Pelodiscus sinensis: one gene and its partner. The protein of the gene in region 2 purifies or fractionates together with the protein of the main gene of each other region. This does not show direct contact. Links are inferred from orthologs where the notes say so. Each region holds a gene or a part of one and is shown on either strand. Other genes may lie near its edges.

Region 1 (3,743 bases), on a different chromosome or scaffold from region 2:
GGGGGGGAGGAAGGAAGGTAAGTGTCTGTGAATTGCTGATATTAAAGGTAGGGAGAGTGGGATGTTTGTGAGTTAATGGTATTACAGGTGATAATTGGGGAAACTGTCTTGGTAATGGGTGAGATAGTTCAAATTCTTGTTAAGTCCTTGTTGGCAAGTGTCGAATTTTAACATGAATGACAGTTCAGAGGATTCCCTTTCAAGTGCAGATGTAAAAGGTCTTTGTAGCAGAATGCAGGTGGCTAAGTCATTTAGAGAGTGTCCTTTCTGGTTAAATCTGAGCTGTCTACACTGGCCCTTTTGCGCAAAAGCTTTGCACAAAAGGGACTTTTACCCGCACGGGAGCAGCATAGTATTTCCACAAGAAGCACTGATTTCAGATAGCAGGAAGTCAGTGTTCTTGCGGAAATTCAAGCGGCCAGTGTAGACAGCTGGCAATCTTTTTAGGCAAAAAAAAAAATCTTTTTCCAGAAAAACTTACCAGCCTAAACACTGCCGAGCTGACCTGCTCAGGGTAGTTATACCCCACCCAGTTATAAGACCTGGGATTCGAACCTGTAACTCTACACAGCTCAAAGAGCTCTGTTAACCCCTACAGGGGCCCCAAGCCCCGCCCGCTGCCCACCAGCTCACCCCTTACTGACACCTTTGGCCAGCCAATAGAATGACAGGGTGCTAGAAGGTCCCGCCTCATGAAGGAGCGAAGCCACTGCGACCCGTCGCAGCCAATGAGCTGCTGAGAAAGAGCATCCCATCCGTCGGGGGCGGGATCGAGCGGAGGATTCTATTACGGCGGCGCGCTCCTCCTTAGAACGAGCGGCACAGGGGCCAATAAGAGGCAGGGACGGCTCTGACGGGCAGGTTCCTCACCCAGCGGCTGTCCGCGATGCCCTGAGTGGCGGCGGACTCAGCCAACGGACGCGGAGGAGGCGGGGCAGCCCGCGTGGTTTCCGCTCCCGTTGTGTGAGGGGGCCGAATCCCAAACGGTCTCCGCCGCGGCGAGCGCTGAGCGTCTCCGCCTTTCGGAGCCGGCCGCGGTCTCCCCCCGCAGCCCCGCTCGGCCCGTCGGTGCCCGGCTTCCGTAGGCCCCGCTCGGCCCGGGACAGCCCCTCCCCCCGCGCGTCTCACCCGGGCCCCCGGCCCCTCCCCCACCCCGGTAACCCGGCGGCCCCGCCATGTCGCTGCACGGGAAGCGGAAGGAGATCTACAAGTACGAGGCGCCATGGACCGTGTACGCCATGAACTGGAGCGTCCGGCCCGACAAGCGCTTTCGCCTGGCGCTCGGCAGCTTCGTGGAAGAGTATAACAACAAGGTGCGGGGGAGGGGCAGAGTTAAGGGTGAGGAGGGGGCGGGGTTACGGGTCACGGGGTAAGGTGGGGTTGTGGGGAAAAGGGGCAGAGTTAAGGGTAAGGAGAGGGCGGGGTTACCGGTCATGGGGTATAGTTAAAGGTAAGGTGGGGTTGTGGGAAAAGGGGCAGAGTTAAGGGTAAGGAGAGGGCGGGGTTACCGGTCATGGGGTAAGGTGGGGTTGTGGGGAAAAGGGGCAGAGTTAAGGGTAAGGAGAGGGCGGGGTTACCGGTCATGGGGTATAGTTAAAGGTAAGGTGGGGTTGTGGGAAAAGGGGCAGAGTTAAGGTTAAGGAGGGCCAAGAGGCAGAGTTAAGGGTAAGGAGAGGGTGGGGTTACAGGTCATGGGGTATAGTTAAAGGTAAGGTGGGGTTGTGGGAAAAGGGGCAGAGTTAAGGGTAAGGAGAGGGCGGGGTTACGGGTCACGGGGTATAGTTAAGGGTAAGGTGGGGTTGTGGGAAAAGGGGCAGAGTTAAGGGTAAGGAGAGCGGGGTTGTGAGCCAAGGGGTATAGTTAAGGGTAAGGCAGGAAGTGTGGGATCATGGGTTGGAGTTAAGGGTAAGGTGGCTGCCACACTCGGTAGGCCAGTCACGGAGTTCTTTGTGCGGCACTTCCAAGAGAGTGGTGGAAATGTGTCACTGCCTGTTGCTGCGAGCCCCCACCCCCTTCCTGGCCTTGTGCTCCTCGGAAAGCCCATAGGAGAGACTTTGCCACTGCCCCTTGTGCGTCTTCATCGCTGCGCAGGGCCTTGTATAGTTGCCCTGTGGGGCCAGTGAGTGTCCAGGCTTCTTTCTTTCTCCTAGGGGAGATGGCATAGGAGAGTGGTGTGGCTTATAACTTTGTGGAGAACCGTAACAAGATTGGGACAGTCCTGTGGCTGAGGTGGTGGCATCTTACACTGACTAAATTATTACCCACGCATCTAATGTGCTATCCAAATGTGATGTCTAGCTTTAATCAGCAGGCTGTTCGTGCCAGTTTCACACACATAGGAGATTTAAACAAGGAAATGCAATTGTAAAATGGCAAAAGTTAGCATCGGAACAAGGGAGAGTGGAGAGTCATAAGATAATTGTAACTAATTTTTAACAAATGAGTGGTTTTCCCATTGACAATCCTAGTGCCATTTGTGCCTCCAATATAAATCATCAACCGTGAAAGACCTCACACAAACTGGAGGAAATGAACTCTACAGAGTGCTGTTGAAAAAAGTGAATTTCAGTTATAATACTTAAAGATTTACCTCGTGTTGCTCGAGTCCTGAACTCAATTAACTTTTGGGTTTTGGAAAATATCATGCAACTGTCCATGTTTCATTTGAATCATTGCCTTGGGGTAGAGCTAGAAATGAGTGGTTGAATATGCAGGCTGCCCTGGGGAGAGAGGATCACTGTAGCAGCTTGAGGTCAGGTGAGAAGCAGCAATCCATGGCGGATACAGCTCTGGGGACACAGCTGAGGGAGGGTAGCATGTCCCCTGACTGGAGCAGGTGCAGATTTGTCTGTCCTCTGTGCTCTGCAGCCTGAGTGAGGAATGTAGCAAACACTGAATGTTCCACTGCATGAGGAAGGGGAACAGCCAGTAATGTTCCCTCACAAATTGGGGCAGTCCTGGGTGTGGGGAACCCTGTCAGCCCCTTGCCACATGCCTGGTGATTCTGTCTCTCTTCATGGTTGTATGAGGAGCAATCCTGTCCCAGGCCCAACCAGATTCTTACTGTGTTTTAAGTTATGGATAATAAGAGGAAGCTGTATCCCGAATGTGATGGTCCTAGCTCTTACTATTTAGGAGGGATTTCTTGAACAGATGCACACACAAAGACAAACTCTCAAATATAAAGTAGATTAGGTGATGTCAGAGCAGGTGGAAACTTGCAGAGAGAAATATATGTTTCCCTTTTAAGAGTGTAGTGTGGTGGTAGGATGGGAAATAAACTAAGTTTGGGGTTAATGGTCTTTTGGGGGGCCAGGCTTTTTGTCAGAGTGACAGATTAAAAAAGGAATGTAATGACAGTTTACTGCCATTAAAAACCTTCTCGCTTGCAATTTCCTCCAAAAATTCTCTTGACCTGAAACTTTCCGGCTTTATTTCTCTCTCTTACCTTCCCCCCCCCCCCAAAAAAAAGGGAGGGGGGGACTATTTATACTCTGCTAGATTGAGTTATTTGGGAGGAAAACACTGACTCTCTTTGGAAGCGCCTTGTAGTGAGTAATTCAAAAACATCTGAAGGTTAAAGTTTTATATGTCAGAAGGGAAACACACTCTGAAAAATGCAGTGACAGTCAGCATTTTTCCACGGTACAGAGAGGCTAAAAGAACAATGGGTATCATAATAAAATCCAAAACATTTGATTAAAAAAGTGGCTGCATCCCATAGCTATCTGCATCCTGTCAGG
Region 2 (3,743 bases):
TGAAATGATTGTTTTAGTGTAATAAAACACTATTTTAACTTGCTCCAAGTCCTTAATAAAAGCTAAAGAAAGCTGTTGCCTTCACTTGTATTGAACTTGGGGAAATCTGCTTTCACTCTTACAAGCATGGTAGCTTTTTGCTGGATGCGTCTAACTATTAAGATCCGCTTCTGTTGGTGAAAGAGACAAGGTTCCCAGATCTGAAGAAGAGCTCTAGGTAAGCATAAAACCTTGTCACCTTTCACCAGCAGAAGTTGGTCCTATCAAGATTATCTCACTCATCTTGTGTGTCTACTATCCTGGGACCAACTTGGGTACAACAGTACTGAAGATCTATATCTGCAGTACTGTTGTACCCAAGTTGGTCCCAGGATAGTAGACACACAAGATGAGTGAGATAATCTTGATAGGACCAACTTCTGCTGGTGAAAGGTGACAAGGTTTTATGCTTACCTAGAGCTCTTCTTCAGATCTGGGAACCTTGTCTCTTTCACCAACAGAAGCGGACCTAGTAAAAGGTATTACCTCACTCACCTAGCTTCAATAAAGATGTATAATTCTATTAAATTCTCTGAAAACTGAAAAACCAAGTTAAGTAGAAATCTAGCCTCATTTTTAGTACTGGAAAACATAGTATGATAAGTAAATGTCAAAAGGTTATGAACCTGACTGCTATCATAAAGACAAGTCATTCTACGAACTCTCTAATAAATTTAAAGTTAGTTTTGAAAAAATATTTTTAAAAATCTTTTTTACAAATATACATCATCAAAAGAGAGAACAAGTCTATTCCTGAATTATTTGAACATTAATTTACAATAAATTCATTGCAAAAATCGTATCCAGTATTATTATGTTTTATGTTTGTAATAAAGCTCTTATAACTCTTAATAAAAGACTGTGGCATATCTCTTTTGCTAACAGGATTGACAAGATATAATACATAAATAATACTAATACTAATAATAATAATAAATAAAAGCACATGTTATTTTCTTATGCTAATGTGCAAAAGACTCCACAGTTGCACACTTGTTGGTTTTATAAAATTATCCATCCTTTAGAGCGTGTTCTAACCCAGAAGTAGATGTGGGCCAAATGCTTTTGAATAGGCCAAAAAATCTTCTTATTTACTGGGGAGCGGAAACTGATTATTATTTTCTCTGTAGTTTGGACCTTGACAAAGAAATGTGAACCCTAACAAAAAATAACTGATTACCTCTGTTCTAACCCATAATAATAGAACTATACAAACATGTTGGATCCAAATGATTCTCAGGATGTTTATGATGTTCTACGGAAAAGGTTTACTCTGAGATGTCAGTGATTTCCAGACTGACTTCACTGTATTAAAAAACTCAGCTAATTTACATTCCCTTTGAAAAAGTAGTAGCAGGGAATCACCTCTGTAGAGAGAATAAATCTCTAAGGTGGGATTGAAAAAAACAGGATAGTTCTTTAACATTAAACATAGAAATAAATAAGATTTAGGGATTTTTGTTTGGGATTTTTGAGGAAATTGAATTAAGCTACTTCATAAAGAAAAATCAATGATAATAGAAGCAAATGCTTTAGATGAAATAGCATATTGATGACCCACCATGAAAAAATGGAAGATTAACACATTGTACTTTGTAGAGACCATATTTTCACATTTTAATTTATAAAAACACCTCATTTTATGCTGCACAAAATTATTTTCATAATTAGATTAATAAACCCTATCGGCATTGTATTTCAAAAGTGTTACCTTGCATATGCTATTGTACTTTAACATAGAAAACAAAACCTAATGCAAGCACAATAAGATGCCAGTTAAGCCCCAGGAGCTCCTTGCAATGAAGGGAACTCACCTTCTCTCCCCTTCGAGAGGATTTCAGCTAGTGTCTGGACACGTATTCTGTTAATTTTATAAAAGGAAAATGCCTCTTAGCTGCTAGAGCCAAAGGGTTAAATGAGTCTGGGAGCAAACGCTGCAGCATTTCTGGTCCCTGTCCCTACAGCCCACGGGCGACGGGATCCCCCATAAACCTGACCTAGTTCCTACTGCAGCAGCCGGCTCCCTGGCACCCCGGGGCTGCTGCGCGCCGGGTCAGGGTGTCCGGACACTCACCGAGTGGAGGTGCCCTTCCTCACATCGCACATCATGCACTTGAAGGCCTCGGCGCTATTCCGGAAGGTGCACACGCTGCAGTCCCAGTAGCCCTCGTCCGAGGAGGGTTTCGGCTGCCGCTTCGGCCTGCAACACACACAACCCGGGGGGGAGGGGGGGACAGGCGGGGGCGGTGGGTCAGGCCCCGCTCGCAGCCCGGCCCGACCGCCCCCGCTGCAGCCCGGCTCCCGCGGCCGCCATGGCCGCTGCACGGCCGAGCCGGCTCGCCGCTGCTCCCGGCGCAGGGTCGGGCCCGGCCAGGAGGCGCCGCTAATCCAGGGCGCGGGCGCTGCCGGCGCCAGGCCTCCGCGCCGCCCTTACCTGGTCGGGCTCTTCTTGTCTCCCATGCCGGCTGCAGACGCGTCCCCGGCCCGGCCCTTTGTGTGTTTGTAAATAAGGAGGAGCGCGGGGGGCCCTGGCTCGAGCGGGGAGGAGGAGCCGCCGCCGCAACCTCCAGCTGTCGGGGAAACTCCGGCTCCCTCTGCCGCCCGCCGCCCCCTCCTCCCTCACGTGTCCCCCCGCCGCCAACCAGCGGCCGCCCGCAGCCCTCCGAGCCCCCGGCAGCGCGAGGCGGCAGGTTCGCATCTGCTGGCGGCGCCAGCCGGCCTGAGGGGAGCGGGCGGCGAGCTGCTGAGGCGGCGGCGCAGCCCTCGTCGCTCGCCCCACAGCGCGCGCGCTGGCTGGCTGGAGGGGGCAACGGGATGGGAGCTCGTGTGTGTGCTGGGCCAGCCACCCCCGCCCCCGTGTGCGGGCTAGGGGTCCCCGCCCTGCGGGGAGTGACGGCGTGGGGGTCCCCCGGCCATTGTGTTGTCTCCTGCGCCTGTAACAGCTTGCCTAACAGCACATGGCAAGCAAGCTGCCAGGCGGGCTGAGAGACAGATCCCCTCTGCAGCAATGACATATGTATTTCATACAGGCCGTGCCTGTTTTGATATATTGCAGATGCAACGTGCATGTGCTGACAGATATGACAGAACCACTTTCCTATTGCACGAACCACGTTCCTGTTGCACGTAAATCAATATGCCATCTCACCTAGGATGATATGTAAATTACACACAAGGCAAGAGTGTGCCCAATCCTCATAAAGGCAGGACTGATCCAGAAGGCCTCTTCCTTTCATCTCTTCAAACCACATCTCTTCCTCTGTGTCAGGGTCCTGGCCTCATTCATCAGCTCCAAACTGGATAACTGAATATAAATATGAACAATGCTAACAGGTGGTACAGAATGAGGCAGCACACTTTCTCCGCAGATTAGGCCACAGCAACACTAGTTATTGGTCTATTTTCATTGCCAGTCCAAAGCCGTGGGCATGCTGTTGAAAGCCATTCATGGATCTGGTCTTACTAGGGTTATCAACCCTCCAAGATTGTCCTGGAGTCTCCGGGAATTCAAGATTAATTTTTAATTAAAGATTATGTTATGTGATGAAATCTCCAGGAATATGTCCAACCAAATTTGGCAACTCAAGGTCCTAAGTACATTAGCGATTACATTTCCATCTATGAATTACTAGTATAGCTACATTCCACTGGAACAATGCTGATCAAAGCTCAGGATAAAAAATTATGAGAGCCAGAAATGGGGC

Evidence for each region.
Region 1: the proteins of YAF2 (region 2) and DCAF7 purify together in Homo sapiens (affinity purification with mass spectrometry; 3 studies listed by BioGRID and IntAct, counting the BioPlex papers as one, with this or other methods). This does not show direct contact. The link is inferred for Pelodiscus sinensis from reciprocal best matches to the Homo sapiens genes YAF2 and DCAF7.

Annotation. Positions count from the first base shown.
Region 1 is NC_134739.1:6,490,369-6,494,111, forward strand, and holds the start of DCAF7 (DDB1- and CUL4-associated factor 7), read left to right. Parts: upstream 1-925; 5' UTR 926-1,175; coding exon 1,176-1,313; intron 1,314-3,743. UniProt on the Homo sapiens protein: Involved in craniofacial development. Acts upstream of the EDN1 pathway and is required for formation of the upper jaw equivalent, the palatoquadrate. The activity required for EDN1 pathway function differs between the first and second arches.
Region 2 is NC_134711.1:53,359,977-53,363,719, forward strand, and holds the start of YAF2 (YY1-associated factor 2), read right to left. Parts: upstream 2,865-3,743; 5' UTR 2,500-2,864; coding exon 2,474-2,499; intron 2,240-2,473; coding exon 2,114-2,239; intron 1-2,113. UniProt on the Homo sapiens protein: Binds to MYC and inhibits MYC-mediated transactivation. Also binds to MYCN and enhances MYCN-dependent transcriptional activation. Increases calpain 2-mediated proteolysis of YY1 in vitro.